3 linked regions of the Tamandua tetradactyla genome follow. The protein of the gene in region 1 purifies or fractionates together with the protein of each later gene. This does not show direct contact. Links are inferred from orthologs where the notes say so. Each region holds a gene or a part of one and is shown in the gene's direction. Other genes may lie near its edges.

What was found.
Region 2: the proteins of CDH1 (region 1) and CTNNA1 purify together in Homo sapiens (affinity purification with western blotting; 10 studies listed by BioGRID and IntAct, with this or other methods). This does not show direct contact. The link is inferred for Tamandua tetradactyla from reciprocal best matches to the Homo sapiens genes CDH1 and CTNNA1.
Region 3: the proteins of CDH1 (region 1) and PLEKHA7 purify together in Homo sapiens (co-immunoprecipitation; 3 studies listed by BioGRID and IntAct, with this or other methods). This does not show direct contact. The link is inferred for Tamandua tetradactyla from reciprocal best matches to the Homo sapiens genes CDH1 and PLEKHA7.

Annotation. Positions count from the first base shown.
Region 1 is NC_135342.1:62,712,612-62,722,973, forward strand, and holds the start of CDH1 (cadherin-1), read left to right. Parts: upstream 1-5,872; 5' UTR 5,873-6,000; coding exon 6,001-6,048; intron 6,049-6,480; exon of another isoform or gene 6,481-6,650; coding exon of another isoform or gene 6,651-6,692; intron 6,693-6,932; coding exon 6,933-7,047; intron 7,048-10,362.
Region 2 is NC_135346.1:18,439,545-18,449,900, forward strand, and holds the start of CTNNA1 (catenin alpha-1), read left to right. Parts: upstream 1-6,457; 5' UTR 6,458-6,590; intron 6,591-10,356. UniProt on the Homo sapiens protein: Associates with the cytoplasmic domain of a variety of cadherins. The association of catenins to cadherins produces a complex which is linked to the actin filament network, and which seems to be of primary importance for cadherins cell-adhesion properties.
Region 3 is NC_135334.1:92,391,722-92,401,787, reverse strand, and holds the start of PLEKHA7 (pleckstrin homology domain-containing family A member 7), read left to right. Parts: upstream 1-5,908; 5' UTR 5,909-5,928; coding exon 5,929-6,014; intron 6,015-6,112; coding exon 6,113-6,189; intron 6,190-6,278; coding exon 6,279-6,336; intron 6,337-9,619; exon of another isoform or gene 9,620-10,066. UniProt on the Homo sapiens protein: Required for zonula adherens biogenesis and maintenance. Acts via its interaction with CAMSAP3, which anchors microtubules at their minus-ends to zonula adherens, leading to the recruitment of KIFC3 kinesin to the junctional site.

The DNA of each region.
Region 1 (10,362 bases):
TATTTGGGGTTAGGTTTGTGACCTAGCCTAGTCCTATCAGAATGGATCTCAGGATTTTTACTGATGACATGAATAATATCTCTTGTTTGGAAGTCAGCCTGAGAATGAAGACCAACACAGAGATTTGGGCAGGTCAAACAGAATGAAACCACAGAGAAAAGCAGCTTGAACCTTGATCAAAATGTTGCTGAAGCTAGGACCTACTTTGGACTTTTCAGTTACATGAGGCAACAAATGGGCCTTATTGTTTGAATTAGTTCAAGTTAAGTGTCGCATGCAACCTTAAAAACATCATATTGAGTGAAATGAGACAGACACAAAAGGACATATATTGTATGATTCCATTTATTTGAAATATTTAGAATATGCAAATTCATAGACAGAATGTAGATCGTAGGTAACCAAGAGCCGAGGGGATCGGGAAGGGGGAGGTGATGATTAATGAATAAAGAGTTTTTATTTGGAATGATGGAAAAGTTTTGGCAAGGGATAGTGGTAAAGGTGGCACAACAGTGTGAATGCAATTAATCCACTGAGTTGTATACTTGAATGTGATTAATATGGGAGCTTCTATGTTGTATGCATGTTACCACAATAAAAAATCTCTGTGAACATGGAGAGCTAAGAGCCAAAGATACCTGGAGAGCTGATACTGAGAGCAGATCCCTAGACACAGACATTTGAAGATACTGAAGGAACACTTGCCAGGGAAAGCCAGAAAGACCCACAGGAGCTGAGAGAGCCATTTGAAATCAAAAGCCGGGGGGAGAAGGACAGCAGACATTGCCATGTGCCTTGCCATGTGACAGAGAAACCCTGGACATGATCAGCCTGTCTTGAGTGACGGTATCCTCTTGTTAATGTCTTAATTTGGGCATTTTCATGGCCTTAGAACTGTAAATTGTAACGTAATAAATCCCCTTTGAAAAAGCCGATCCATTTCCGGTACATCACATTCTTGCAGTTTTAGCAAACTGAAACACTGTGTGATTGTATAAACCTCGTGACTAATATCCCCTTTATCTAGTGTATGGCTAGATAGGTAATAAAATAAAGACATGCATGAGGAAGAAATAAAGACATGCATGTCCTGACCTTTAGCAGTTAAACATGGAGATGAAGAGGATTTGGAGGCCAGTGGGCCTGGCTTCCAAATTCCAGCTCTGTCATTTTTACTCTGTAAACTGGGCAAATTTCTTTATCTCTCAGCCTCTGCTTCCAAATTTGAAAAAAGGATCTAGTGACAGCACTCAAAGAGCCATAGGAGCATTGATGAAATAATGCATATAAAGTAAGGTTTGAGTTACAATAAATGGTAGCGATTCTATCATACAATTTAATGCAATTATTGGCATTTAGTACAATACCTGGCACACAGTAGGCATTCAATAAATATTTAATAAATAAATGGATGAATGTTTATTGGTCTGCACCCCCCACTACCTTATGTACTTTCTGAGGGCAGGGACCATATTTTATTTCTATGTTCCCAGTTTCAAATACAGTGCCTGGTGCATGGGGGTACTTGATAAATGTTTATTTGCCTAAATGAGATAATGGATTTGAGCGGTCATCATGCATGGTGCTAAAGCCAGGAGGTGAAAGGATGATGGGGAAATTGATAATGGTGTCAGCTGATTCCCAGCATCCTGAAAGTGAGTCGACCAGACAATTGTGTGTGTCCTGATACGATGCCATGGGAAACACCCACAAACTTATGAAATATTTTGCCTGGAAATTGAATCTACATTAAATCAAGCCTCTAAAGCTGAGTAACAGTTTACTGAAATATGGGACATACAGATAGAGGAACATGTTAAATGACACTGTGAGGATGCATTCTAAATGCAAATGCAGGACATTCTATGGGACAAGTGGCCAGGTTTCTTAAAAGAAAAATTAATGCTATTGAAAAAGTATGATGTCCAAATAAAATTTGGAATGATGTCTAAACAAAAGCTTTTTAAAACATGGGTATGTTAAATATCTTTACGGTGCTGATGGTCTCACAGCATATGTATATGTCGAAACTCATCAAATGGTACCGTTAAATATAAACAATTATACCTCAATAAAGCTGCACTAAAAAGGATGGGAAGACTGTTACAGGTAAAGAGAGACTTAGGACACAAAACTGCCAAATGCAATGTGTGGCTATATTTTGGATCCTGATTAAAATAAGTTGTAAAAAGAAAAAAATAAATATTTTAAAAGGCGTTTTAAAAATATGGCCTAGCCATTAGACACTGTTGAAGAATTATTGTTAATTTTATTAGGTGCTATTACCTAACAGCATGATGGTTATGTGGAAAGAAACTTCTTCCTCAATTATAGATGCATAGTGAAATAGTCACAGGGGAAATGGCATGTTAACTGGGGTTTGCACTACAAAATCCTACAAAAATAAATATTAAAAAGGAGGAGAGATGAAACAAGACACGGTACAATCCGAAAGTTAACAAATCACAAAACTATAAAAAAAAAACAAAACCACAAAAGATCCTGGTTGAAGCTGGATGATGGAGGCATTCATCACACGGTACAAAGTAGAGATTATTTTCTTTACTTTTGTGTTTGAAATAAAAATGTTTTGTGCGGAAGTGAATGGCCGGCTGCAAAGGGCGGTACCCCTATCGGTTACCACCATTTTCACAGAAAGCTGAAGTGGGGTGTCCAGTTCCCTCCCCCGCGTGCTTGGCCGGCAGCCCGGCCCGGCAGAGACGGCAGGAACCTCCTGGAGCTTTTAAAACGGAGCCTCCTCTACCGGTGAGGTCGGGAGCCCCCGTGGCCTGGGTGCAATCCTCCGTCCGCAGCGGGCTGGGGTGCGGCTGCTCTCAGCCGAGGCCCGGAGAGGCGCTTCTCTCCCAACCTAAGCTCCGTATTTACGGTCCCTTCGCCGGCCCGGCCCGGCAGCACTGAGATGAAAGGGACAGTTCCGCCTGGGGAATTAATCATTAGCTTTCCTTCCTCGAATGAACAGACCAGTCTCCCCAAACCCAGGAAATGAAAGTCCAGCCAAGCGGTATGCCCAACTAGGAAGGAGAAGGCTTGTCATTCCATGGTGCATGCTCGCTTTGCAGTGGCTGGTGTCACCTACCTGGAGTGATCTAGAGAGCACCGACCAGGACTCTCGTCAACATTTCTTTTCCCAGTCCATGCCAGGAATTTCACCTTTAGTACTAAACGGGCCCTCAGGGATCTCAACCCCTGGATTGCAATTTGATCTGCCTCCAATTGAGAAGGTAATGAAAGCAATAGGCAGTGCCACCTGCACTGACAGGTTCGCATACAATCTCAAGGCTTTCATGGCACACATACACACGTTACCCCCTCCTCTGGCTACCCCCTCCCCACCAGAAACCATGGATTAACACCAGGCTAAACCCTGCATAGAATTTACCAGATCTAGAACTTTCATTCCTTTGAAACAAGCAAGGTCATTCCCCAGAGTCCTCTTTAAAATGTAAATGAGCATGGGAGGGACAAAATGGCTAGCCATCCAGTGGAAAGAGGTTTTCCTAGCAAATGGGAGATAGATCCTAGGAGCCTTTAATATACTGGGGGTTGGAGGAAGCAGAGTTTGAGGATGAAGAGGCTCCCAATTTTACCTTCAGCTGGGATAGGAATGTGTCAGGCAAAGAGTGCGCATAGCTAACTAACAGAGCACTTAGAATCACCTTGCGAATTGTGTGATGTCAATAACCTTGTGAATTAAGTGATATCAACATTTTTATGGATGAGGAAATCCAGACTTGGAGAGATAAAGTGACTTATCCAACCCAGCTAGTCGCAGAGCTGGAATTTGAACTCTCAGTCAAACTGAGAGCAAAGGCCGCCCACAGCATGGCTTGCCGGCTCTCTAAACCCGCTCATCTGATCCTTACAACTAGCTATTAATGTCCTTGTTTGATTAAAGAGGAAATGGAGGCAATTCACAGTGTTGCCCAAAGTCACACCTTGCCATCCACACAGGGAACCCCGCACGTTCCCTCCTCACCCTGGACAGCTGATGGGGGACGGCTCTTCACGACCCACCCTTGGGATCTTGGAGAAGGATTCAGACTTGCCAAGAAGTCTGATGAGAGCATCAGGCCCAACCTGTCCTCGCTGCCCCTAATTGTTTTCTAAGATCCTTTTTATTGAATTATCAGTGTGTAATGGAAGAGTCGATGAGCACTGCCACGGAACTACAAGGCCAGGGCTTGCTGGGTGGAAGAGAGCAAAGCCCTAAAGGCTCCCCGGGCCGAGCGATGGTATAAAATATGCATTTTTACATAACTGGGAGAAAAAAATAAACTGACAAGGCTGCCCCATGGGGGAAACGCCTCTTTCTGTATTTCCATTATCTTGTTTAATGCACAATCCGGGCAGGAGCCTCGGTGGGAAAGGAAATACTGGAGCCTTTTTGCTCCGAGCCTCCTGGTGGGTTGAGAGGCAGAGAGAGCCAAGATGCAGCAATCCAAATGGCCTGGGTGTGTGCTCAGAAACCCATTAAAACTGAGGGGACTGTGGGGTAGAGGAGCTGTAGCTTTAGGTGAAGAATTCCAAGCATGGCTTTCCCAAGGAGGAAGGGAAAGAGGTGGGTAGGCTTTTCAAGAGAACAACCTCTACACCAACCACATATTGAGCAGTTACTACTATGTATGTGCCAAGTACTCAGTTTAGTGATTTAGCTGTTCATTTCAATACGTTTATACAGGTGAACACAATGACTTGCCCAAGGTCACATGGCTAGGGCGCAGTGAACATACTGTTTTGTAGTTCTGACCCAAGCTTGCAGGATGGAGGGAAAGGAGGTGCTCTTCCCAAGTAGCCAAACCATGGCCACAGAAAAGGGAAGTTGTCCGACCTAACGTTAATCCTGTCTATTCTTTTTGCAATCCTAAAATTGTCTGGGAACAGAATTTTCAAGAGAAGGTGGTGGTGGCTGTGGTTTCTGTTAAGAGCCACAGTCTGGAAATGAGATCTTGGGTTTTAGTCTCAGCTTTAACATGATGTTAGGGAAGTTACTTGCAAATAACAGGTTTGGGTGATCTCTAAAGGGATCTCCTCCAGGTCAACATTAAAGGATGGTTTGAAAACTGCAGCTCCAGCTGGAAGACTGCCTGGCTTCCCAAGAGGGAAAGCATAATAGTTCAATGCAAGGGCCCTGAAGGTGGGTTCTGGTCCTCTGCCTTCTCTTACTGGCCTCCTTAACCTCTTTATACCTCAGTTGCCCCATCTATCAAATGGGAACAGTGACACTGTCCTTGGGGTGCTTTGAGAAGGGATCAAATGAGATGGTCAACTTCAGTCAAATGCTTAGCACAGTCCGTTCAATGCCTAGTACTATTATTATCTCTCACAGCCATGCATGGCTTTTATCTTACAGGAAACAGTGGCCTTATTAATTGCATGGGAAACTCGCAACAACCTAGGGGGGGACTTTGGTGACCATTATTCTCATTTGGAAGGTGGAGAAACTGAGGCTGGGAGAAGCGTTCCTGACCTAATGAATCCATTTGGTAACTCATTAACCGATAGAGACCTGCAGGTAACAAAACAGTACTAAATAAGAGGCAAGGTCTTTTCAAACTCCAGTCACCCACGGCGGGACTGGGATTCGAACTCTCTAGGAATCAGAGCCGTGCAGCCCCGAGTCCCTGCTGACCCTCCAACCTCCAACCTCACAGCGACTGGTGACCCTGTCAGCGCGGGGCCGAGGGGCGGGGCGGTGGCGGGACTGTGGGCGGGCTGCCCGCCCCCTGCCCGCCTGTGGAAGCTGTAGCCCGCGCCGCGCCGCTCATTGGCTGCAGCCGAGGCAGGTGCGTCTTCAGCCAATCAGCGGCGCCAGGGGCGGAGGCCTCGGGGCTCACCTGGCGGCGGCAGCGCTGTCGGCCTCAGTGGCGTCCCGAGCCGCGGACTACCTGTGAGCCTGATAAGTACTGTTAGACTCCAGCCCGGCCCAGCCCGGCCCAGCCCGACTCCACCTGACCCCGCTCGGCACCCGCCCGGCCCACCATGGGCGCTCCGCGCTGCAGCCTTTTCGCGCTCCTGCTGCTGCTTCAGGTACGTCGGTTCCCCTCGCTGTGAGGGGACACCTTCCAGTCCCCCGACCCGCTCCCAGGCCCCGCGTCCCCTCCTCTCTCCTGTCATCGACTTCCCCCTTTTCCGAGAAAGTTTGGGTCCCCTGCAGCAGAACGGCCTGGAAGCTGCTCGGCGCTCTGGACTCGGCGGAGGAGGGAGTGCGTGAGGGTGAGGGAGGCTTTGCCCGCCTCCTCCCGCATTTATCCGCGGCGGGGGGCGCCCCGAGCTGCCCGCGCTCCAGGGCCGGGAGTAGGTATGGGCTTGGGGCAGGCAGTTGGAGCATGGAGCATGGTGGGGCTCGGGATGCCGAAAAGGGGGAGCCCCGGTGCGAGTAAAAGAGAAGCCAGGAGTAGTGAGGCGAATCGCCGAGGTAAGGAAAGGGAGGTTCAGAGAAATAAAGGCACCTCCCGGGTGAAGAAAGGGGAGCCCATTAGGAGTGGGGCGCCCTGGGATAAGGATAGTGGGGTCAAGAAGGCTTGGGGCGCCTCCTGTGTGAGAACCTGGACTTTGGATTGGCGGCGTTTCCCGGTATAAGGAAAGTGGTGTCGGGAAGAGTCAAGACGCCTCCGGTGAAATGAAAAAGCATGAAAGAGACCGGAAGAAAGAGGGGACTAGGTCGTGAGGAGGTGACCCAGCGCGCCCCTTCTCCCCCTTTTCTCGAGTTCCCGGAGACTTGGCCGCTGCAGGTTTCGGGGAGCGAGAGGATGACGCCGCTGCCGGGGGTGGGGTGGGGGTGGGGTTGGAGGTGTCCTTGCACAATCCCGACGCCTCGAGCGAGGGAGGGGCGGCGCTGTGGGTTTCGGTGGGGGCAGGAGGGGACCCCCTCCAAGTAACCCCGGTCCTACACCTCTCCTCCCCTCCCCCAGGTCTCATCGAGGCTCTGCGAGGAGCCGGAGCCCTGCCGTCCTGGCTTTGGTGCGGAGAGCTACACGTTCCCGGTGCCCCGGCGGCACCTGGAGAGAGGCCGCGTCCTGGGCAGAGGTGGGGACGCGCATTACCGTGATTGACCTCTGCGGTTGGGGGGGTGGGGGGCACTTATTAGAGGTCTTCAATATGTGTCTCATACTGTCCTGACAACTTTAGAGATGGCCTGTCATTTCGGGAGGGAAAAGCCCGCTGGGAGGTGGGGGGTATTCCGAGCAGATCAAGGCTTGGAGGGGAGAGTCCACTGGCTCACGGTCAGCAAAACTGGGCTCTGACTCCCAGACATAGTTCTGCTCCATCTCTGGGATGACCGAGGAACCCTCACTTGGTTACTGGGGCTGTGGCTTTTGCTCATAGAGATGAAATCATTTCCATGCAGGTACCTCAAGGAATAATGGTTTTTGAAAAAAAAGTTCGGTGGCTGTGACTCAGGATGAAAATACACACAAACGCCCAATGCCCTTCTAGACCTTATCACTGTGATAGCCTGGTTTCTAGAGTTTGCTTTGTTCCAATTCACCCTTGCCCAGGGGTGGGAGCCAGGGAAGGATTGGTTTCTTTTCTAGTTTCACTGATTCCTAGGTGCTTATTTCTTATCAAACGTCTTTCTCCTCCCTCATGATCTTAGTTAACTGTGGGAGTATCATAACAGTAAAGAAAAGCCTTTTAGAAAGAGGAGCCACCACATTTCCCCTCAGGCATCCACTGTGTTTATTCTTCCAGTCCTTGACCAAGTGAAAAATATGATGCAGCAATCTTTTTTTTTTTAACTTTTTAAAAATTTTTTTATTAATTAAAAAAAATTACAAGAAAGAAACACAAACATTCTTGACATATGCTCATTCCATTCTACATATATAATCAGTAATTCACAATATCATCACAGTTGCTTATTCATCATCATGATCATTTCTTAGAACATCTGTGATTCAGCAATCTTAATTTTTTTTTTTGGACCTTTGGAAGTTGTCCCACAGCGGGTGGCATTTTCCCCCAGAGAAACTGAGGCTCAATTGATTAAACATATTTACCGAACCCCAGCTTTGTTGTGTGGAGCTTCTTTTTGGGTCAGAAAGAAAATGTTGTCTCACTGATATTGCGGCGGCTTGACCAATTTCTCAGTTCTTGCCTGTGCTGGGCACCAGGGAGTGGATAGAAAAGAGGCAGGAATGGGGACACTCGAGCCTTGGTCTCAGTATTTCATATTGTAGCAGGTTCCTGAGAATGTCCTAAGGCCTCCTTAGGACACTGGGACATGGGAAGTTAGGTGCCAAAGGGTGTGGGCAGCCTGGAGTATTTTGGTGGAGTCAATGGACAATGAAGACGTGCTTCTGGGAGGAGGCAGACTTTGCCCAGGCTTGAAGAGTGGGGCAGGTGTGTTTGGGGGGGGATGAACTGTGGATGGACACTGTTGGTGGTCTGTTTTCCTGTACCAAGACAATTGAGCACACTTGGTAGCTTCAAGGGTGGGTTGTTCTGTTACTACCCAACTCATAGTTTCTACCTCCCAAACTCATAGTTTCTGGCCAATAATAGCATTACATGTTAATAATTATTATCATTGTTGTTAGTAGCAGCTCCTGGTTTTCACTTTTGAACTACACTCTGGGGCAAGTGCTTTACATTTTACCTCATTTAGTCTTCACAACAGCCATCTGAGGGAGCTCAGACATTCAGTAATCTGCTCATGGAACCACAGTTGGGCTTTCTCCTGTCCTTTTTCTCTTCAGTCATTTCAAACAAAGGAAGCTGTTTGGGGAAATCCTGTGAAGAAGACTATCTGTGCCCTGGAGAACAGAGGTGCCGACGGGTGGGACCTGGGTGGGACCCCTTAGAGGAGATGGTGGTGGTAGAGATGGATCAGACCAGGTGGGAGGCAGAGGGCAGGGCTGTGGCTGGTGGCTTTTGCGGGAGAGGCAGCTTCAGCCAGTCCTTCACAGGCTTTTTGTGTGATTTGTTCCTCTTCCCTTTATAGCCACAGACCCCACCCCTACTCGACAGATCTCCTGATTTAACTTTTTGTTTGGCCTGTTTGCACCATAGGGTCTCCTTATTGAATCAATGAAGGATGGAAGTGTCTTTTGGAAAACGACACAGTTGACCTTAGGGACTAGCTTTGTGATTTAACAAGGCAGCCAGGGTTTGGGAAGGTGGTCTTGCTCTCACTGGACAGTCCAGGATAATGGAGGTCTAAGAGATTAGCACCAGGTTTTAACATTGGCTTTGGGGAGAATTTGCTGCATGGGAGCTGGAGAATATGGAACCTTTCATTTTTTTCCTCCTTGGGTGACTGTAGAGCATCGGTTTTGACCCAATTCAGGGGTCCTCAGGGCGTTTTGCTGGGGTCACTCCTGTGCCCTAGGGAATGGCTGATCTCACCATCTCAGCCTATTTATTCCATTGGTTTCTCTCCAGGTTCTAGAATGAAGAACATTAAAAAAAAAAAAAAAAAAACAACAAACCAAATGAGTTATTCAGAGCTTGTGATTAGTGTTTTCCTTTTCTTTAGGACTTTGGTTTGAGAAACGCAGTCTGTTAAGACAGTTTGAAATTTTAGCAGTATTAGCCTAGTGAATACAGCTTTAAGTTGAGTGGGGGTAGAGGTGGGGAGTATTGGGAACTGGACACAAGAAAAGCAGGCAGGCTTTTGATCCAATCCTTTCCTTGCTTTGCTTCCCCTACAGTCTGGCCTTGGACAAACAGGGCCTGTGTTTTGGGTTTGAGCTTCAGCTGCTTGATAAGTAACTAACTAACTCACAGGCACCCACATGTGTAGATTAAATACACCCATTTCCCCTCCTTTCTAAAAGATGTGATGAAAGGGTGGCAGAAGCAGTATCCAGGGCCTCTAATTAAACTGGGCTTAAAAAACAAATACAAAAAACCTGTTTGGGGATCGCCTTACATCATCAGATGTTTCCCCACCCTTCAGATTCTTAAGCATCACTTCCCCAATTACTCAGGTCTGTGCCAGGGGTGGATGCAGCCCTTACTAGGAAAGACTCATTGGCTGCCTTTCTGCCCCTGCCTTTGTGTCTCACCAAGAGCGGAGGCGGGAAAAGTCCTGGTCCTGGGCCCCCGCAGCCATTTAAGGAAAGCTGGATGCAGCTCCTTCCCCTTGGGGACTGCTGGACCTGCCCACCTTTCTTTGCCAGGTGGCTGTGGAACTCCCTGTCTCCTCTCCAGGGCTTTTCATTGGGTGAGCCTTTAGGAAGGAAAGGCTCACCTTGGTGTCTGTTACACTCTCTCTTCCAAGCGGAGCCCCAGATAAGGCAGACGCTGAAGTAATCGGCTCTCCCATCTCCCAGAAGCTGCCAAAAGCCTAAAATCCCCAAGAGGCAGCTGTCACAATTCAGACTCGACCTTTCTGGG
Region 2 (10,356 bases), on another chromosome or scaffold:
TATCATAAATAACATTTTTTAAGAAAAATAAAAGTTTCTAAAACAAAAATAATCAGTGAGAAGTGCCATAGTTTTTTAAAAATTTATTTTATTTATTAAACATATTGTCATGGTTAGGGACAGGTGTCAACTTGGCCAAGTTGTGGTACCTGTTCATCTGATTGGGCAAGCGCTGGCCTGTCTGTTGCAATGAGGACATTTCATAGGATTAGGTCATGATCACGTCAGCTACATCCACAGCTGATTCCATTTGTAATCAGCCAAAGGGGAGTGTCTTCTGCAATTAGTGATGCTAAATCCAATCATGGGAAGCCTTTTAAGGAGGACTCAGAGGAGACAGGTTTCATTCCTGCTTTGGCTGGTGAGCCTCTCCTGTGGAGTTCGTCCAGGCCATCCATTGGAGTCATTGGCTTCGCAGCCTGCCCTGTGGATTTTGGACTCTGCATTCCTATGGTCACGTGAGACACTTTCATAAATTTTATATTTGCAAGTGTTCCCTGTTGGTTCTGTTTCTCTAGAGAACCCTAACTAATACACATATCAACATACAAACACAAACATTCTTACCATATGATCATTCCATTCTACATATATATTCAGTAATTCACAATATCATCACATAGTTCTATATTTATCATCATGATCATTTCATAGAACATTTGCATCAATTCAGAAAGAGAAATAAAAATAAAAAGGAAAAAAAGTCATACATACCATATCCCTTACCCCTCCCTTTCATTGATCACTAGCATTTCAATCTACTAAATTTATTTTAACATTTGTTCCCCCTATTATTTATTTATTTTTAATCCATATATTTTACTAATCTGTTGATTACGTAGATAAAAGGAGCATCAGACACAAGGTTTTCACAATCACACAGTCACACTGTAAAAGCTATATTATTATACAATCATCTTCAAGAAACATGGCTACTGGAACACAGCTCTACATTTTCAGGCAGTTCCCTCTAGCCTCTCCATTACACCTTAATTAAAAAGGTGGTATCTATATAATGCATAAGAATAACCACCAGAATAACCTCTGACTCTCTTTGGAATCTCTCAGCCATTGGCATGAGAAGTGCCATAGTTTTGCATTTTTGCATTTCTCTTTAATGAATGGCTTAATAAAAGATAGCTGGATTCTCATATCTGCTCCCATAGCCCACTGACTTCCTGAAAGAATGCCAAGGTGCCCCAGACTACACTTTGAGAACTGTGGCTTTGACATGTAGCATTTGGGAGGAACTGGAAAGAATCATCAAAGCAGACTAAAGCATGAACAACCAACTTTGACTCAAGAAGAAATAGATGACCTCAACAAACCAATCACAAGTAAAGAAATTGAATCAGTCATTCAAAAGCTTCCTAAAAAGAAAAGTCCAGGACCAGACGGCTTCACATGTGAATTCTATCAAACATTCCAGAAAGAATTAGTACCAACTCTCCTCAAACTCTTCAAATAAATCGAAGTGGAGGGAAAACTACCTAATTCATTCTATGAAGCCAACATCACCCTCATACCAAAACCAGGTAAAGATATTGCAAAAAAAGAAAACTACAGACCAGTCTCTCTAATGAATATAGATGCAAAAATCCTCAATAAAATTCTAGCAAATCATATCCAACAACACATTAAAAGAATTATACATCATGACCAAGTAGGATTCATCCCAGCTATGCAAGGATGGTTCAACATAAGAAAATCAATTAATGTAATACACCGTATCAACAAATCAAAGAAGAAAAATCACATGATCATCTCAATTGATGCAGAGAAGGCATTTGACAAGATTCAACATCCTTTCCTGTTGAAAACACTTCAAAGGATAGGAATACAAGAGAACTTCCTTAAAATGATAGAGGGAATATATGAAAAACCCACAACTAATATCATCCTCAATGGGGAAAAATTGAAAACTTTCCCCCTAAGATCAGGAACAAGACAAGGATGTCCATTATCACCACTATTATTCAACATTGTGTTGGAGGTTCTAGCCAGAGCAATTAGACAAGAAAAAGAAATACAAGGCATCAAAATTGGAAAGGAAGAAGTAAAACTATCACTGTTTGCAGACAATATGATACTATACGTCGAAAACCCGGAAAAATCCACAACAAAACTACTACAGCTAATAAATGAGTACAGCAAAGTAGCAGGTTACAAGATCAACATTCAAAAATCTGTAGCATTTCTATACACTAGTAATGAACAAGCTGAGGGGGAAATCAAGAAACGAATCCCATTTACAATTGCAACTAAAAGAATAAAATACCTAGGAATAAATTTAACTAAAGAGACAAAAAACCTATACAAAGAAAACTACAAAAAACTGTTAAAAGAAATCACAGAAGACCTAAATAGATGGAAGGGCATACCGTGTTCATGGATTGGAAGACTAAATATAGTTAAGATGTCAATCCTACCTAAATTGATTTACAGATTCAATGCAATACCAATCAAAATCCCAACAACTTATTTTTCAGAAATAGAAAAACCAATAAGCAAATTATTCTGGAAGGGCAGGGTGCCCCGAATTGCTAAAAACATCTTGAGGAAAAAACACGAAGCTGGAGGTCTTGCGCTGCCTGACTTTAAGGCATATTATGAAGCCACAGTGGTCAAAACAGCATGGCATTGGCATAAAGATAGATATATCGACCAATGGAATTGAATAGAGTGCTTAGATATAGACCCTCTCATCTATGGACATTTGATCTTTGATAAGGCAGTCAAGCCAACTCACCTGGGACAGAACAGTCTCTTCAATAAATGGTGCCTAGAGAACTGGATATCCATATGCAAAAGAATGAAAGAAGACCCGTATCTCACACCCTATACAAATGTTAACTCAAAATGGATCAAAGATCTAAACATTAGGTCTAAGACCATAAAACAGTTAGAGGAAAATGTAGGGAGATATCTTATGAAACTTACAATTGGAGGTGGTTTTATGGACCTTAAACCTAAAGCAAGAGCACTGAAGAAAGAAATAAATAAATGGGAGCTCCTCAAAATTAAACACTTTTGTGCATCAAAGAACTTCATCAAGAAAGTAGAAAGACAGCCTTCACAATGGGAGACAATATTTGGAAATGACATATCAGATAAAGATCTAGTATCCAGAATTTATAAAGAGATTGTCCAACTCAACAACAAAAAGACCGCCAACCCAATTACAAAATGGGAAAAAGACTTGAACAGACACCTCTCAGAAGAGGAAATACAAATGACCAAAAGGCACATGAAGAGATGCTCAATGTCCCTGGCCATTAGAGAAATGCAAATCAAAACCACAATGAGATATCATCTCACACCCACCAGAATGGCCATTATCAACAAAACAGAAAAGGACAAGTGCTGGAGAGGATGTGGAGAAAGAGGCACACTTATCCACTGTTGGTGGGAATGTCAAATGGTGCAACCACTGTGGAAGGCAGTTTGGCGGTTCCTCAAAAAGCTGAATATAGAATTGCCATACGACCCAGCAATACCATTGCTAGGTATCTACTCAAAGGACTTAAGGGCAAAGATACAAACGGACATTTGCACACCAATGTTTATAGCAGCGTTATTTACAATTGCAAAAAGATGGAAACAGCCAAAATGTCCATCAACAGACGAGTGGCTAAACAAACTGTGGTATATACATACGATGGAATATTATGCAGCTTTAAGACAGAATAAATTTATGAAGCATGTAATAACATGGATGGACCTAGAGAACATTATGCTGAGTGAGTCTAGCCAAAAACTAAAGGACAAATACTGTATGGTCCCACTGATGTGAACCGACATTCGAGAATAAACTTGGAATATGTCATTGGTAACAGAAACCAGCAGGAGTTAGAAACAGGGTAAGATAATGGGTAATTGGAGCTGAAGGGATACAGACTGTGCAACAGGACTAGGTACAAAAACTCAAAAATGGACAGCACAATAATACCTAATTGTAAAGCAATCATGTTAAAACACTGAATGAAGCTGCATCTGAGCTATAGGTTTTTTTTTTGTCTGTCTGTTTGTTTGTTTGTCTTTTTTCTTTTTTTTTTTACTATTATTATTATTTTTATCTTTTTTCTCTATATTAACATTCTATATCTTTTTCTGTTGTTTTGCTAGTTCTTTTCCTAAATCGATGCAAATGTACTAAGAAATGATGATCATGCATCTATGTGATGATATTAAGAATTACTGATTGCATATGTAGAATGGAATGATTTCTAAATGTTGTGTTAATTTCTTTTTTTTCTTTAATTAAAAAAAAAAAAAGAAAAAAAAAAAAGGAGACTAAAGCTGCAGCCTGGGAGGAAAATCAGAAGCACTTGGTGCCTTGGAGGGGGAGTGAAGAAAGCATTTCAAGGAGGAGAATGAACAAATGCCACTAATGGTACAAGTCAGTTGAGGACTAAGATTGATTACTGGATTTGGCAATGTGGAGGTCATTGGGACCTGGATAAAAGCAGTTACGATGGGGAGGTGAGTGCTAAAGCCTGCCTGGAGTATAGTATAAAGGGTACTTGGTCAGGTCACTGTCCCCCAAACTAGGCTAATTTTCCCCCAAATCTATTTATATCTCCAGCCCCTGGCTTCACACTCTCTCCCACCCCCCTCCATTTTTTTAGTAGTTTACTTGTTTTAACACCTGCCTCCTCCACCACATTTTAAGTTGTGTGAGAACAGAGATCAAGTCAATTTTTTATTCGCTGATGCTTCCTCAGCATGTAGCAAATGCCCAGGACATGGTGAAGGCTCGTTTCCTCCAGGAAGCTTTTTCAGATTTTTTTGGAGATAGGGAACTGACTTCCCTTAGCTTAAGGGACACACTGCAAGTCTCTCATTTGGACCCTTCTTCCCAAACAAACCCTGCACTTTGATCTTCAATTCTAGTTTTATTTATGATGAACTCTCCACCTGGAAGACTTCATTTCTCTCTTTCGAAATCTTATCCATTCTTCAAGATCAATGACAGTCACTCATTCATTCAAGAAACAGTTATCTACCATTTGACTAGTCTCTGCCCTTGAAGAATGTCTCAGTTTGTTGTGGGACCCAGATGTATAAATGCAGGTAGGTAAAATACAGCAAGGGAAGTCAGGGCCCTGCAGTTAGAAAGGCCCCATGCTTAGAAAGACCTGATGCTTGGTTTAATGCTCTACTGTCACCCTCTTGAAATTCTTAATTTGTGCAAGGGACCCCACAAATAAAGTAGCTGGTCCTGAGTGAAGTGAGGGATATACAAAATTATGGAACATAATCCTTTTGCTTTTTCTCTTGATAGGTGAAACAAATATTTATTGATTGATTACCATGTTCTGAGGTAACCAGGTGAAGTGGGGGAAGGCATGGCCACTCCCAGCAGAGGGGACTACTGGAGAAAGACCCTGAAGCCAGAAACAGCCTGCGGTGTAGCAGGACCAGAAGGGCCTTATCAAGATATGCCTTTTGCTTAAATATCTTTCTTTCCTTCCCTCATGATTCTATTGTCCTTTGTCAGCATCTCTTAACTAGCACAAACCCATCATACTTTGAGTTACATTGGGCAGTTTACCCAGACATGTTCACTAGACAGGCATTGTGCTAGAGGACACGGCTTCCATCCTTCCGAAGTTTTCATTCCTTGGAGGAAGAGGGAGATGTTAATAATAGATGGTGAGCATGTTGAGGGTAGGTCTCTCGTACACAGCTTGCTCAGTGCAGAGTCAGCAATGGATATCGTTACTTTCGGATTCAAAGGCCAATGCTGAAATCAACCTTATTCATCATCCCAGGAGGAGAAACATTATCAGGGTTTCCTATCTCAGGTTAATTAGCAAGCTGTAGTCATTTTTGTTGTTGTTTGCTTTGTAGTATTTTCTTTTTAGGAGTATTCACCGTGAAGATAAGGAACATAGGGTGGGAATAAAATCTTCTAAATGGTCAGAGGGATAGGGATAGAATCTAGGTTTCTTAAGTTTATGTCGGTTTCTATTACACTCTGCCTTACACTGCGGGACCTTTACTTAGCCACAGTTTCTCTTTTGGTAAAACCAGAGGGTGGACTCTGAGCACTTTTCTGGGACACTTGTGACGCAGGAGAGCGCTCCCAGGACCCGGAGGCGCCGCGCCCGGTCGTCGGGCCGCGGCCGGGGCGGGGCCTGAGCCTCACCTGTGCGCAGTGCGGTGACTCACCTCCTCCCCCCATCCCCCGCGGGGGCCTTCCAGGAGTCGCTGCTCCTCCTTCCTCTCAGGGTCACTCAGCCTGAGCGCCCACTAGGGGCCTGGGAGAAAGTAACTCTGGGGTGGGGACCGAGAGGAAGAGGTCCCGGCCTGGCCTCGCCAGGCTGTCTTCGCAGTCCGGATCCCTACAAAGCGGGAGTCGGGCAGGGCCAGGAAGCGCGGGCCTGGGGGCGGTGGCGGCGGGAGGCTCCGGGAAGAGCGCGTCGGAGGGAGGCGCCGGGAAGGGCGGGCGGGGCCCGGGCCACGGGGCGGGGGGCGGGGGCGCCTGACGGCCCATTTCCTCTTCGGAGCCGGACGGGAGAGAGACAAAGCGGTGGCCGTCGGCTTCGGGCTTCGGGATCCTCCTGCGCTCGCTCTGCTCGCCCCAGGTAACTCTCTTGGCGCCTCCCTTCGCGCCGGCACGGGCCCCTTGCAGGGGCTCTGGGGGTCCTCGGGCCGGGCCGCCCCTAGCGGGGCCCCGCTGGCGGGTGGGGTGCGGTATCCTCCGCCGCCCTGCCCAGGATTGGGCTCCGGGTGGGGCGCGAGGCCAGTCTCCGGCCTCTGGCCCGCAGCCGCTTTCCCTGCGTGGCCCCCGTACCGCGGCCTGGCCGGGCGGGGCCCGCGCTTCCCGGCCTCGGGAAGTTGAGGGGCCGCCGCGGCCGGAGGAGAGGAAGTCGCAGGCCTCGCGCAGCTCAGCGTATCCTGCCGGAAAAGTTTCTCCCGGTTTCTAAAGTTTGCTGGAGTGGACTCGGTGTGCGCGCCACGCCCGCGCGCGGCCCCCGGGGCCGCCGGCCTGGTAAAGAATGCCGGCGCGCTGTTCCCTGTGCGAGTGTGACCCGGGAGTTGAGTTTTCCAGTGGTGTTTATCCTTTGGTTCTGTGCTTTCTCTGGCCCCACCTCTCCGTCACCGGCCGCTAAAACTCCCCCGACTGTTGAACTGAGAACTTTTGCTGAGACCGCGCACCCTCATTTCCCGCCCCGAACGGATATAAAAGTTTAATTCTCCCTTTCCCTGACACAGTCTTGTTGATAAGGTGCACCACACCCGTGTGGACTTTTGGCGTGTACCGTTTATTGTGAAATTACTCAAGATTTGTGCTGGTCAGTTGGACACACCTAATTCAGATTCGTCCAAGTTTTCAAAAGTGGCATTAGATTCTTGTAGACTTTTAAAGGATCGTGTGTGTGTGTGTGTGTGTGTGTGTGTGTGTGGTGGTGGGGTAGGGGGTGAAGAGGTGGGGAGAAGCACTTGCTGGAAAAAATTTTGACGGAATGCCTAATTTTGGCTTGGCACTAAAGGCTTCCCAGTAATGCAGGCGTCAGTTGGTCCAAATCCAGGATTGACATCCTCTTGTGTCCTCCTGCGGCTTTGTAACATTTCTGCATTTGTTTTGTGTAGAATTTACAATAATTTCGAAAAGGTTGTGTTTTTAAGTCCCCGGTTAATCTAAGGACGTTTCATATTTTTGTTGAAGGAAGTGATTACATCATTGTATTGTGACAGGATAGACGTTTTGATGAGAGGTTGTTTTGTGTTTTACAGTGATTTTTAAAACGATTTGCAGGGCAGGCCACGGTGGCTCAGCAGAGTTCTCGCCTGCCATGCTGGAGACCAGGGTTCGATTCCCGGTGCCTGCCCATGCAAAAAACAAAACAAAATAAAAAAAAACAACAAAACGATATACAGGTGTGTGTTACTTTAAGAAAATGTGAACTTGTAAATTAAATTAATTCAAGTACGTTATTTTGTTTTACAAGAGGAATGAACCGAGGAGCTATCCTTAGCCTCTGCCCAGTTATTTACCCTTCTTGACTTTTATTAAGTTAAATAATTTTCCCCCCTCTTAAAGGGCTTAGGGTTGAATAGGCCATGTTCTCTGTTCCTAAGGGTTCACGGTGTAATATAAGGCAGACTGTGATAACTGCCTTAGCAATAATATTGAGAAACTACTGTGTATAGATAAAATATTATATAATATTTGCAATAAAGGAAGCTTGTGAGGACATGGGGAAGGGTAATTGGTTTTATTTGGAGAAGTCAGGAAAGGCTTCCAGGAAGGGATGAAATATTTGACTGGCCTTTGAAACTTGAGAAGGGTTTTGTCAGCTGAAGAGAGGGAGTGAGAAGCATGAAAGAACACAGGAGTTTGGGAGTATTGTGAGACAGATCTCCTGGTTTTCCTTATACTTTTGGTTACTACTTTTCAGTCTTTTCTTTTTTTAATCCACTTGTACCCAAGGTTTTATCCTGTGCATCTTGGTTTTTTTTTTTTAATTTATTTTGTATTATCAAACCAAAACAACATACAAACATGAACATTCTTAAAATACAAACGTTGCATGTATGGTGTATAATCAGTGGCTCACAGTATCATCTCATATAGTAGTATGTTCATAACCATGATCATTTTTTAGAACATTTGCATCACTCCAGAAAAAGAAATAAAAAGAAAAACTCACCATACCAAACCCTGTATCCTTCCCTTTCATTGACCACTAGTTTTTCCATCTGTTCAACAGATTTTAACCTTTGTCCCCCTATTTTTTTCTAAACCTCTTACCACTCCCTTTCGTTGTTCACTAGTATTTCAATCTACTCAATTTATCTTAACGTTTGTTCTCCCTATTATTTATTTATATTTAATCCATATTTTTTACTCATCTGTCAATATCGTAGATAAAAGGAGCGTCAAATACAAAGTTTTCACAGTCACATAGTCACTTTGTGAAAGCTATATCATGATACGTTCATCTTCAAGAAGCATGGCTGCTGGGACACAGCTCTACATTTTCAGGCACTTCCCTCTAGTCTCTGTAATGCACCTTAAACTAAAAAGGGGATATCTATAAAAGGCATAAGAATAACCTCCAGAGTAACCTCTCGATTCTGTTTGACGTTTCTCAGTCACTGACACTTTGTTTTATCTCATTTTTCTCTCCTCCGTTTAGGTGGAGAAGATTTTCTCAATCCTTGATGCTAAGTCCCAGTGTATTCTAGGATTTCTGTCCCACATTGGCAGGGAGCTTTACACCCCTGGGATTTATGTCCCATGTAGAGAGGGAGAAGGCGGTGAGCTTGCTTGTCATGTTGGCTGAGAGAGAGAGAGACCACATCTGAGCACAAAAGAGGTTTTCTAGGGGTAGATGACTCTTTGGCCTGATTTTAAGTAGGCTTGGTCTATCCTTCATGGGGATAAGTTTCATATGAATAACCCCCAAGATTGAGGGCTTGGCCTATTGATTTGATTGTCCTCACTGCTTGCTAGAATGTCAGGAATTCTCCAAATGGGGAGATTGAATTTTCCCCCTTTCTCACCATTCCCCCAAGGGGACTTTGCAAATACTTTTTTATTTACTGTTAAGATCACTCTTTTTGATTTATCAGGGCATCCTTTTGGACAAACCTACAAAATCTCATGCCCTATTCAAGGTTCCAGTACTTATGGTGTTCAATTAAACTGTCCATATAAGTTATATTAGGAAATGCTGTAGTCAATAAATTTTGTACCATATAAACATTTTTTTCTTTAGTCTCACACATAAGTTGACGTTTTAAAATATGAATGGCCACCTATTTTCGACACCCTGCAATATGGACATTCTTTTGTTCTTCCTCATGTAAAAACATTTTTTAATTTGTACATTTAGTCACTGTCATTATGTGCTCTAGACATTCCTAGGTTATACCATCTCAGTCTTTATCGTCTATCTTTCTTTCTGGCTTCATTTGTGCCACCAGCCCACCTCCCTCTATCATTCTCACATTCAGCTTCATTGACTGTACTAACATTATTGGGCTACAATTAGGTAGTACTGTGCTATCCATTTCTGAATTTTTAGTCAGTTCTGTTGCACAGTCTGTATCCCTTCAGCTCTCATTACCCAAAATCTTCCCTATTTCTATCTCTTGATGGCCTCTGTTCTTAACTGAAATTCTCCAAGTTCATTCATTAATGTTAGTTCATATCAGTGGGACATACAGTATTTGTCCTTTTGTTTCTGGCTAATCTCACTCAGCATAATGTTCTCAAGGTCCATCCATGTTGTTATATACTTTATGACTTTATTCTGTCTTCCAGCTGCGTAATATTCCATCGAATGTATATACCACAGCTTGTTTAGCCTCTCTTCTGTTGATGGACATTTGGGCTGTTTC
Region 3 (10,066 bases), on another chromosome or scaffold:
CTACATGATCATCTATGCAGAAAAGGCATCTGACAAAATTCAACATCCTTTCCTGTTGAAAACACTTCAAAGGATAGGAATAGAAGGGAACTTCCTCAACATGATAAAGGGAATATATGAAAAACCCACTGCTAACATCATCCTCAATGGGGAAAAACTGAAAACTTTCCCCCTAAAATCAGGAACAAGACAAGGATGTCCACTATCACTACTGTTATTCAACATTGTGTTGGAAGTTCTAGCCAGAGCAATTAGACAAGAAAAAGAAATACAAGGCATCAAAATTGGAAAGGAAGAAGTAAAACTCTCACTGTTTGCAGATGATATGTCAAAAACCCTGAAAAATCCTCAGCAAAACTACTAGAGGAATAAATGAGTGCAGCAAAGTGGCAGGTTACAAGATCAACACTCAAAAATCTGTAGTGTTTCTATACACTAGTAATGAATAATCTGAGGGGGAAATCAAGAAAAAAAATTCCATTTACAATTGCAACCAAATGAATAAAATATTTAGGAATAAATTTAACTAAAGAGACAAAAGACCTATGCAAAAAAATTGTTAAAAGAAATCACAGAAGACCTAAATAGATGGAAGGGCATACCCTGTTCATGGATTGGAAGACTAAATATAGCTAAGATGCCAATTCTACCTAAATTGACTTACAGATTCAACGCCAATACCAATTAAAATCCCAAAAACTTACTTTTCAGAAATAGAAAAACCAATAACCAAATTTATCTGGAAGGGCAGGGTGCCCCGAATTGCTAAAAGTATCCTGAGAATAAAAAATGAAGTCAGAGGTCTCATGCTACCTGACTTTAAGGCGTATTATGAAGCTACAGTGGTCAAAACAGCATGGTACTGGCATAAAGATAGATATACTTATCAATGGAATAGAATAGAGTGTTCAGATAGAGACCCTCTCATCTATGGACAATTGATCTTTGATAAGGCAGTCAAGCCAACTCACTTGGACAGAACAGTCTCTTCAATAAATGGTGCGTAGAGAACTGGATATCCATATGCAAAAGAATGAAAGAGGACACCCTATATAAAAGTTAACTCAAAATGGATCAAAGACCTAAACATTAGATCTAAGACCATAAAACTGTTAGCAAAAAATGTAGGGAAATATCTTATAAATCTTATAGTAGGAGGCAGTTTCCTATACCTTACACCTAAAGCAAAAGCATTAAATAAATAAATAAATAAATGGGAACTACTCAAAATTAAACACTTTTGTGCATCAAAGAACTTCGTCAAGAAAGTAAAAAGACAGCCTACACAATGGGAGACAATATTTGGAAATGACATATCAGATAAAGGTCTAATATTCAGAATTTATAAAGAGATTGTTCAACTGAACAACAAAAAGACAGTCAATCCAATTACAAAATGGGCAAAAGACTTGAACAGTCACTTCTCAGAAGAGGAAATACAAATGGCCAAAAGGCACATGAAAAGATGCTCAACTTCCTTGGCTATTAGAGAAATGCAAATCAAAACCACAATGAGATCATCTTACACCCACCAGAATGGCCATTATCAATAAAACAAAATGACAAGTGCTGGAGAGGATGTGGAGAAAGAAACACACTTATCCACTGTTGGTGGGAATGTCAAAGGGTACAAACGCTGTGGAAGGCAGTTTGGCGGTTCCTCAAAAAGCTCAATATAGAATTGCCATATGACCCAGCAATACCATTGCTAGGTATCTACTCAGAGGACATGAGGGCAAGGATACAAATGGACATTTGCACACCAATGTTTATAGCAGCACTATTTACAATTGCGAAGAGATGGAAATTGCCAAAATGTCCATCAACAGAGAAGTGGCTAAACAAACTGTGGTATACACATACAATGGAATATTATGCAGCCGTAAGACAGAATAAAGTTATGAAGTATGTAACAACATGGATGGACCTTAAGGACATTATGCTGAGTGAGATTAGCCAGAAACAAAAGAACAAATACTGTATGGTCTCACTGATATGAACTAACATAAGTGAATAAACTTGGAGAATTTCACTGGTAACAGAGACCATCAGGAGATAGAAATAGGGTAAGATATTGGGTACTTAGAGCTGAAGGGATACAGATTGTGCAACAGGACTGAATGTAAAAACTCAAACATATGGACAGCACAATACTACCTAACTGTAATACAATTATGTTGAGACACTGAATGAAGCTGCATGTGAGAATGACAGAGGGAGGAGGGCTGGGGGCACAAATGAAATCAGAAAGAAAGACGATAAAGACTGAGATGGTATAATTCAGGAATGCCTAGAGTGTATAATGATAGTGACTAAATGTACAAATTTAAAAAATGCTTTTGCATGAGGAAGAACAAAGGAATGTCATTACTGCAGGGTGCTGAAAATGGATGGTAATTAATATTTTTAAAATTTCAACTTATGTGTGAGACTAAAGCAAAAAATGTTTATTTGGTACAAAATTTATATTTTGACTAGTGCATTTCCTAATATAACTTATGTAGACAGCTTAACTGAACACCATAAGTACATGGAACCTTGAGTAGGACATGAGATTTTGTTGGTTTGTCCAGAGTGATGCCCCAATAAATCCCACAGTGATTTGAACAGTGAATTAAAAAGCATTTGCAAAGTTCCCTTTGGGGAATGGTGAGAAGTGGGGAAAATTCAACTTCCCCAAGTTGAATTCTTGATAGTCTCACAAGCAGTGTGAACAACCAAAGCTATAGGCTGAGCCCCCAATCTTGGGGTTTGTTCATATGAAACTTAACCCCACAAAGGATAGGCTAAGCCTACTTAAAATCAGGCCTAAGAGTCACTCCCAAGAGAACCTCTTTTGTTGGTCAGATGTGGCCTCTCCAGCCAACACAACAAGCAAACTCAGCACTCTCCCCTGTCTACGTGGGACATGACTCCCAGGGATGTGGACCTTCCTGACAACATAGGACAGAAATCCTAGAATGAGCTGAGACTCAGCATCAAGGGATTGAGAAAACCTCCTTGACCAAAAGGGGGAAGAGTGAAATGAGACAAAATAAAGTGTCAATGGCTGAGAGATTCCAAGAGGAATCTTCCGAGAGGTTATTCTGGAGGTTATTCTTACGCATTAAATAGGTATCACCTTGTTAGTCAAGATGTAAGGGAGAGGCTGGAGGGAACTGCCTGAAAATGTGGAGCTGTGTTCCAGTAGCCATGTTTCTTGAAGATGATTGTATAATGATGTAGCTTTCACAATATGACTGTGTGATTGTGAAAAAATTGTGTCTGATGCTCCTTTTATCTACCTTATCAACAGATGAGTAGAACATACGGAATAAAAATAAATAATAGGGGGAAAAATTTTAAAATAAATTTAGTTTGAAATGCTAGTGATCAATGAAAGGGAGGGGTAAGGGTCATGGTATATATGGATTTTTTTCTGTTTTCTTTTTATTTCTTTTTCTGAATAGAAGAATCACCAAGAAATAATCATGATGATGAATATGGAAGTATGTGATGATATTGTGAATTACTGTTCATATGTGTAGAATGTTAAGAAAGTTAAGAATGTTTGCGTTTGGTGTTTTTTGTTTTTAAAAAATTTAAAAAAAAAGAGAGAGAGAGAGTAGCTCATGAAGAGAGAAATAGATCAGAAGAGACATACATGCAGGCCTTTGGAAATGCAGAAGCCCCAGGAGACGCCAGGAGCTGAGAGAGCTGACAGAAGCTAGACAGGAACCAGAAGCAACACAGATGCAGACATTTAGAGTTGCTTGGAGTGCCAACAGAGAGAGCAGATGCTTAGTCATAGGTATTTGGAGATGCAGAGCCCAGCAGACGTCACCATGTGCCTTCCCATGTGATTCTAAGCAAGCCAAAAGGATCCACAGAAGCTGAGCGAGCTGTTTAATACCAGAAGCCATGAAAGGACACAGACACCAGTCATGTGCCTTCCATGTGACGGACTTCGATCTTCCTTCAGAGTAGAGGTATCTTTCTCTGGATGCCTTAGTTTGGACATTTTTATGGCCTTAGAACTGTAAACCTGTAACTTAATAAATCCCTTTATAAAAGCCATTCCATTTCTGGTATATTGCATTCTGGCAGTTTTAGCAAACTAAAATAATCGAGTATTTTTTCATTGATTTAAAGTCCACTTGTATTTCTTCTCTATGAACTATGTGCTCATGTCCTTTGCCTATTTATTGTATTTTTTAAAATTAATGTTTAACAATAAAAATATGACTTTCTTAATGTCATTTGCTCAAGAACCTCCTCAGAGGGAAGAGGTGCCTTCAGATAGGTGTTCAGGGTGCTACACAATCACACTCAGCTCCCTCTTCTGACTCATAACTGCACAATACCACTATCTGTTCCCAAGGAAGGGTCCCTTTGTGGTCTCAACATCCTGCACGTCTCCCACAAATGTGTTTGCTCTCCTATTCCTTCCCTGTGGGGGACTCTCTTCCAGGTTAAACCCGACCAGTCCTTCAGAACCAAGCTTAATTTCACCTCCTCCGGGAGCATTTCTGAATAACCAATTCCCACACTGCATACAGTCTCATTTTCACATGAGCCTGGAAGGCTGGGCCTGGCACTTGCCCAGAGCTAGCTAGCTTCCTGCTCTGTCCATGCTCAGAGTGTCCGAGTATCTGAGTGTCTGAGTGAGGAGTGTGTTTCATTCACTCATTTGACATTTACTGAATGCATATGTGAGCTAGATACTATTCCAGGCACTGGTCCAGACGCTGGAGACATGCCAGTATATGAGGCAGACAAGGTCTCTCCTGTCATCCCACTGACGTTTCAGTGTGGGTGGGGCTGGGGGACAACTAATGCACAGCAAACAAACATGACAATAAACAAACACGCAACCAAGGTCAATTAAGTGCAATAAGTCATGGAATAGACAGTGAAAGAAGGGGAAGAGTCTCCTTTGAACAGAGGGCTCAGGAGGTGGCTCCCTGGGGGATGATGTCAGAGCAGAGACCTGAACATAAGATCCAGCTGTGTAGAGCCCTACAGAGCCCTGACCAGAGGCCCCACCTGGCTGGTCCGCTCTTCAAAAGATGGTCGAGGGATAGTTCAGCCCCCAGCACCCCTTCTTTCTGTCACTTGGACAGGATTTGAAGGCAGAAGCCTGTGATCCGTGCAACTTCAGGTGCCGGGACTTTGCCCTCTGGCCTCATATCCCAGCTGCAAACTTAGAAACGCCCCTAGCCCACCTGAGCAGATCACGTGGCCGGAGTTATCCGTCTCCCAGGTGCGCGGATGCAGCCAGGCGTTACTAGAGCAGCTACTAGGTGCTAGGGTGTAAGTAAGCACTTCATACCACTGTTATCTCGTGTAATCGATGCAACAATTCCGTGTAGTCCTGATGATAAACTTCGTTTTACCGAGGAAGTAACTGAGTCACGGCAAATGGAAGTGACCGTTTAGGATTGTGAGGTTCACAAAGAAGCACAGTTCCTGGGGGAGAGAAATTCTGCCGTGGGATTCACGAGGTGTTTACTGGGGTACATGGGGTGCGCGACTGTTCCCAGAGTTTGTCAGGTCTAGCCGCGGGTCCTCAGGCTGTCGGCACTTCCATCAGCAACACACCTCCAATCCGGCCGGGGCCTCGGGGCAAAGGGGCGCGAGGCGGGCGCGCCCGGGCGGGCGGGGTGGGGGCGGGGAAGGCGCGGGGACAAAGGCCGCGGCCGCAGCGCTCTGGTCGTCCCGTGCGGCAGCGAACTCCTGGGGCCGGGCCGGAACTCCAGGCGCCCCGAAGCTTAACGCGCGCTCGCGCCGCGAGGAGCCCGCGAGGCGATGGAGCGCTCTGGGGAGCTGCAGGGGCCAGCGCAGGCCCAGCCCGCCTGCCCGCCGCCCCCTCCGCCCCCGCCGCCCCCTCCCCTGCCTCCTCCCCGCCCCGCGGCGGCGGCGGCGGCAGCGGCTCCGCGCTTGGGGAACATGGCGGCGGCGGCGGTCGGACGGGACACTTTACCTGAACACTGGTCCTACGGCGTATGCCGGGACGGCCGCGTCTTCTTTATCAAGTACGGCGCGGGGATGCGGGATGTGGGCAGGGCGGGCTGCTGAGCGTGCGGGCCCGCGGGCGGTGGCGGCGCTAACAGGTGCACCTCTCTCCCCACAGTGACCAGCTCCGCTGCACGACCTGGCTGCACCCGCGCACCGGGGAGCCCGTCAACTCGGGCCACATGATCCGCTCAGGTGGGCTACGGGCCGGCGGGGTGGGCGCTCTCGGGAGCCGCGCGTCGCGTCTACCCGAGTTTGACCCGAGTTTTCTCACGTTTCCGCAGACCTGCCCCGCGGCTGGGAGGAGGGCTTCACGGAGGAGGGCGCCAGCTACTTCATCGAGTGAGTGAGTGGGGGCGCGGCTGCGGCGCCGGGGTCTGGGGAGGCCTCACCGCGCCTCGCACCTGCGCGCCTGGGGGCGCGGGCCGTCCCTGCTGGGCGCCCCCTGCCCCTCCTTCTAGCCCCGCCTGGGCGCCGGGCGAGTTGGCGCGCACAGCGCGGCGGCCGCCCGCGTCGGGTGTTTTTGTGTGCCGGGGCTGTGTGGCGGGCTCCGGGAGAAGGCGGGCTGGAGTCCGCAGCTCCGGTGTGGGACCGGCGCGGTGGTCTGGGCGGGGGCAGGCGCTGCAAACTCTGCGTCCTGGACCACGCAATCCGGCGGGATTCGCGAGCTGAGTGTGAGGGGCCGGACACACCTCCCCGCCCGCGTCCGCGCGGAGAGGAGTGGGAGCCCGGACCGGGATGGAGCGGGGCGGGGTGGAGAGAGTAGAACAAGAAATTCGGCCCAGGATACCGAGCCTGAGAAGGCGACCAAGGGAATTTCGCTTGGAGAGGCCTTCTCCTTTGGCTCTGTCTTCTGGGACCGTCGAGAAGAGTCGGAACCGTTCCTCTTCCCCTCCCCCCACCTCTGGCGGGCCTGTGGGGATTGGGTAGGGGTGGGGAGGGCAACCGACCAACCAATAAAATTCCTCAAACCTCTCTTTTAGTCGGCGCTGAACCCGACACTTAACTCCCGCCTCGGCTAGTCAAGCAGTAGGTTTTCCGCAAAAACCTTGGAGCGTTTCCGCACCGGGCAGGTTAGCACCGCAGATATGGGTGTGTAGAAATCAGATCGAGGAACATTAAGTTCACGCGCCGTCCACATTCTAACGCCACTAGTGCTTTTACTTCTCGCTCCAGGGCATGCGCCTGAGCTACAGCTTTTCTTACTTTGTCAGCTCCTTTGTGAGCTCCGTAAGGGCAGAAACTGCTTTTGATCCTTTGCCCCAGTGCCTGGCATGGAGTAGGCACTCGGTAAATGTTTGTTCATTGAAGGAATAAACCAGCCAAAGGTCTTGTCGGTGGGCTGACTGGAACTGGGAGTACTTTCCGGGAGTAAGTCAGAATTCCCTTTTCACCAACTTGAAAACATTGTTAGTGAGTAGGGGGACAGCACAGTTGAAGCTGAAATGGTCCCAGAAAATCTCGGAGCTTCCCTCCAGGGTTTGGACTCCAGTGGGAACCCCCACACTTGTTAGTTGGTTGAAACACTGATGGATGAGAGGACTTAGGGCCTGGCTGTGGTCCTGTCCTCCTGCCTAGCTGGGTTGTGAAGGGGAGATGGGGAAGTTCGCTGAGGGTGTCAGAACCTCTCTGTTAAAATGGGCTCATAAGTGGGTCAACTGTTATTTATTAAACTCCCCCTATGAACCAGCATCATAGCTCTAGGTGTTGGGGCCACAGAAGTGAACCAAACAGACCAGGTCCAAGTGCTCATGGAGCTTGCAATCTTGTAGTTAGTAAATAAATAGATAGTGTTAACTGCCATGCAGAAAATTTAAATAAGGTATGTGATAGCAAGTGACTTCTAGCTTAGTGGAATTGGATGACAGTGATGCTGAGGTGGAAAAGCATTCCAGGAAAGGGGAACAGCCAGTGCAAGTGCCTAAGGCACAAAGAGCCTCATGTCCAAGGATCAGAAAGGCCAGTGTGGCTGGAATACAGCAAACAGGGAAAGAATGGTATGAGAAGAGGTCAGAGATAGGAGAGAAATAATGATGTAAGTCTCTGTGATCCAGGGTAAGGAGATTTTGGTATTCTAAACCCAGCAAGAAATCACTGGAGGGTTTTAAGTAGAGGAGTGATATGATTAGATTTGCAATTTTAAAAAGATCACTCTACCTTCTGTGAAGAGACTGAACTGTTGGTAGGCAACTGCAGGGAAGCAGGGGAGCAGTGGAGACAGTTACTATAGCTCAGGTAAGAGGTGATGGTGGCTTGACTGAGGATGATGGCACTGGACATGGAGAGAAGTGGCCAGGTTCAGCTTGCATTTAGGAAGTAAAATCTATAGATCTTCCTACTGTATGGGATATAGTCTCTAAGGAAAAGAGAAGAGTAAGATGACTCCTAGATTTGGGAGAGGAGCAGGTGTGAGGTGGTGGAGAATCATGAGCACTTATTTTTCCCTGTTACCTTTAAGATGTGTATATACCAGGTAGATATATGTATCTGAACCGTGGCAAAACGAGGACTGAGTGGGTATTTTAGATGATATTCAAGGTCAGGGGGGATTGGAGGAAATCACCTAGGAAGGGAGTGTAGACAGAAAAGAGAAGACACCTTAAGCCTTGGGACATGGCAGCATCTGGAAGTTAGGAAAAGAGGCAAATCCAGCAAAGGAGACTGAGAAGGTAGGAAGGTAGGAGAGAACTCAGGAGAATGAGCAGACAGAAGCTTCAAGGGCAAAGCCCGAATGGAGTAGGTGAAAGAGAACATATGAAGAGGGGAAAAGGAGTCAGTATGTATAGGCCAATCTTTCAAGTAGTTTTATGGGGAAGTAGAGTTGGGGTATTATCTAGCATCTGGAAAGTGATCTGGGTTTAAGGGAGATTTTGTGTGTGTCCTTTTTTTTTTTTAAGTGGGAGGTCCTATAGCATGTTTTTGTTATGATGGAAATGATCCACTGGAGAGGAAGAAAGTGATGATGCAGAAAAGAGGTGAGATATTGCTGGACTAGAGATCCCGAGGAGGCAAGAATGGGATCCAGAGTATAAATCTCTACTGGTCTCAGACAAGTGCAGGGCACTTTTGATGGGAGGAAAGGCTGCAAGCTCTGGCGCCAGTGCAAGGAGGCCCCTAGATGTGGTGGATGTTCCTGTAGAATAGTTTCTGTCTTTTCCATGAAGCATTAGGCAAGGGCCCTGAGCTGGGCTATTGAGGGGGTGTGCAGACTTCAAGCCACTGTGGCAGCCTCACGCCCTTCTTCTCTTGCTGACTGTTCTATGATAACTCTGTTTGTAAAGTCCCTGGTGATTAATAAGCCCTACCCCCCAGGGCCTCGCTGCAACCTCCCAGGCCTAGGGGAAAGCAGTGTGTGAGGGCATCCTCTACCATTAAAGGCAGACTGTGTGCGGAGGAAGGGATCCTGGTGGTAGCTGATTTTATTTTCTGCCTTCTTCCTTGGCAATTTCTTGAGAGACTAATTAATTGTTCTCCTTTTCCTGACATTAAAAATGTTTTGCGTCAGTTTGCTTTCTCAGATTTGCTGTGAGCATTTTTGAATGTCTGAGATTGATTTTCTTTTCCTCTTTTTTTTTTTTTTTTTGTGGCCTCCTCTACTATGGCTCCATAAATTAGGGGGACAAAGAATTGCCATGACTAATTTTTTTTCTCCAGTTGAATTTTGGACAGAAACGCTGTATGACGTTTTCAGGATGCATTAGTTGCTCCTGGTATTTAGTAGATACTGTAATACTCTCCAGAGTCCATTTCTTGAAGCAGAAAATCTTGAGCTAAGGCAGTTGGATTTTAGTTTTGGTTTCTGTACTTTGGGTTCAATTTTGGATTAATGAGGGACAAAACATATACGGAATCTGCACCTTTTTCTCCCAATTCTAGACTAGGTGGTGCTGACATTCGCTTTAAAAAGACTTTTTGTTCACTGAGACTTCTCTACTTTCCAATGAGCCCCTCAGCCAGCTAGCAAGATATAATAATAATTGTAATAATAGTGTCATTAATGGCAATAAGAATAGTAGTAGCAATTACATAATAGCCTAATTGTCTTTGTTTGTGGGGGCTGATATGACAAATA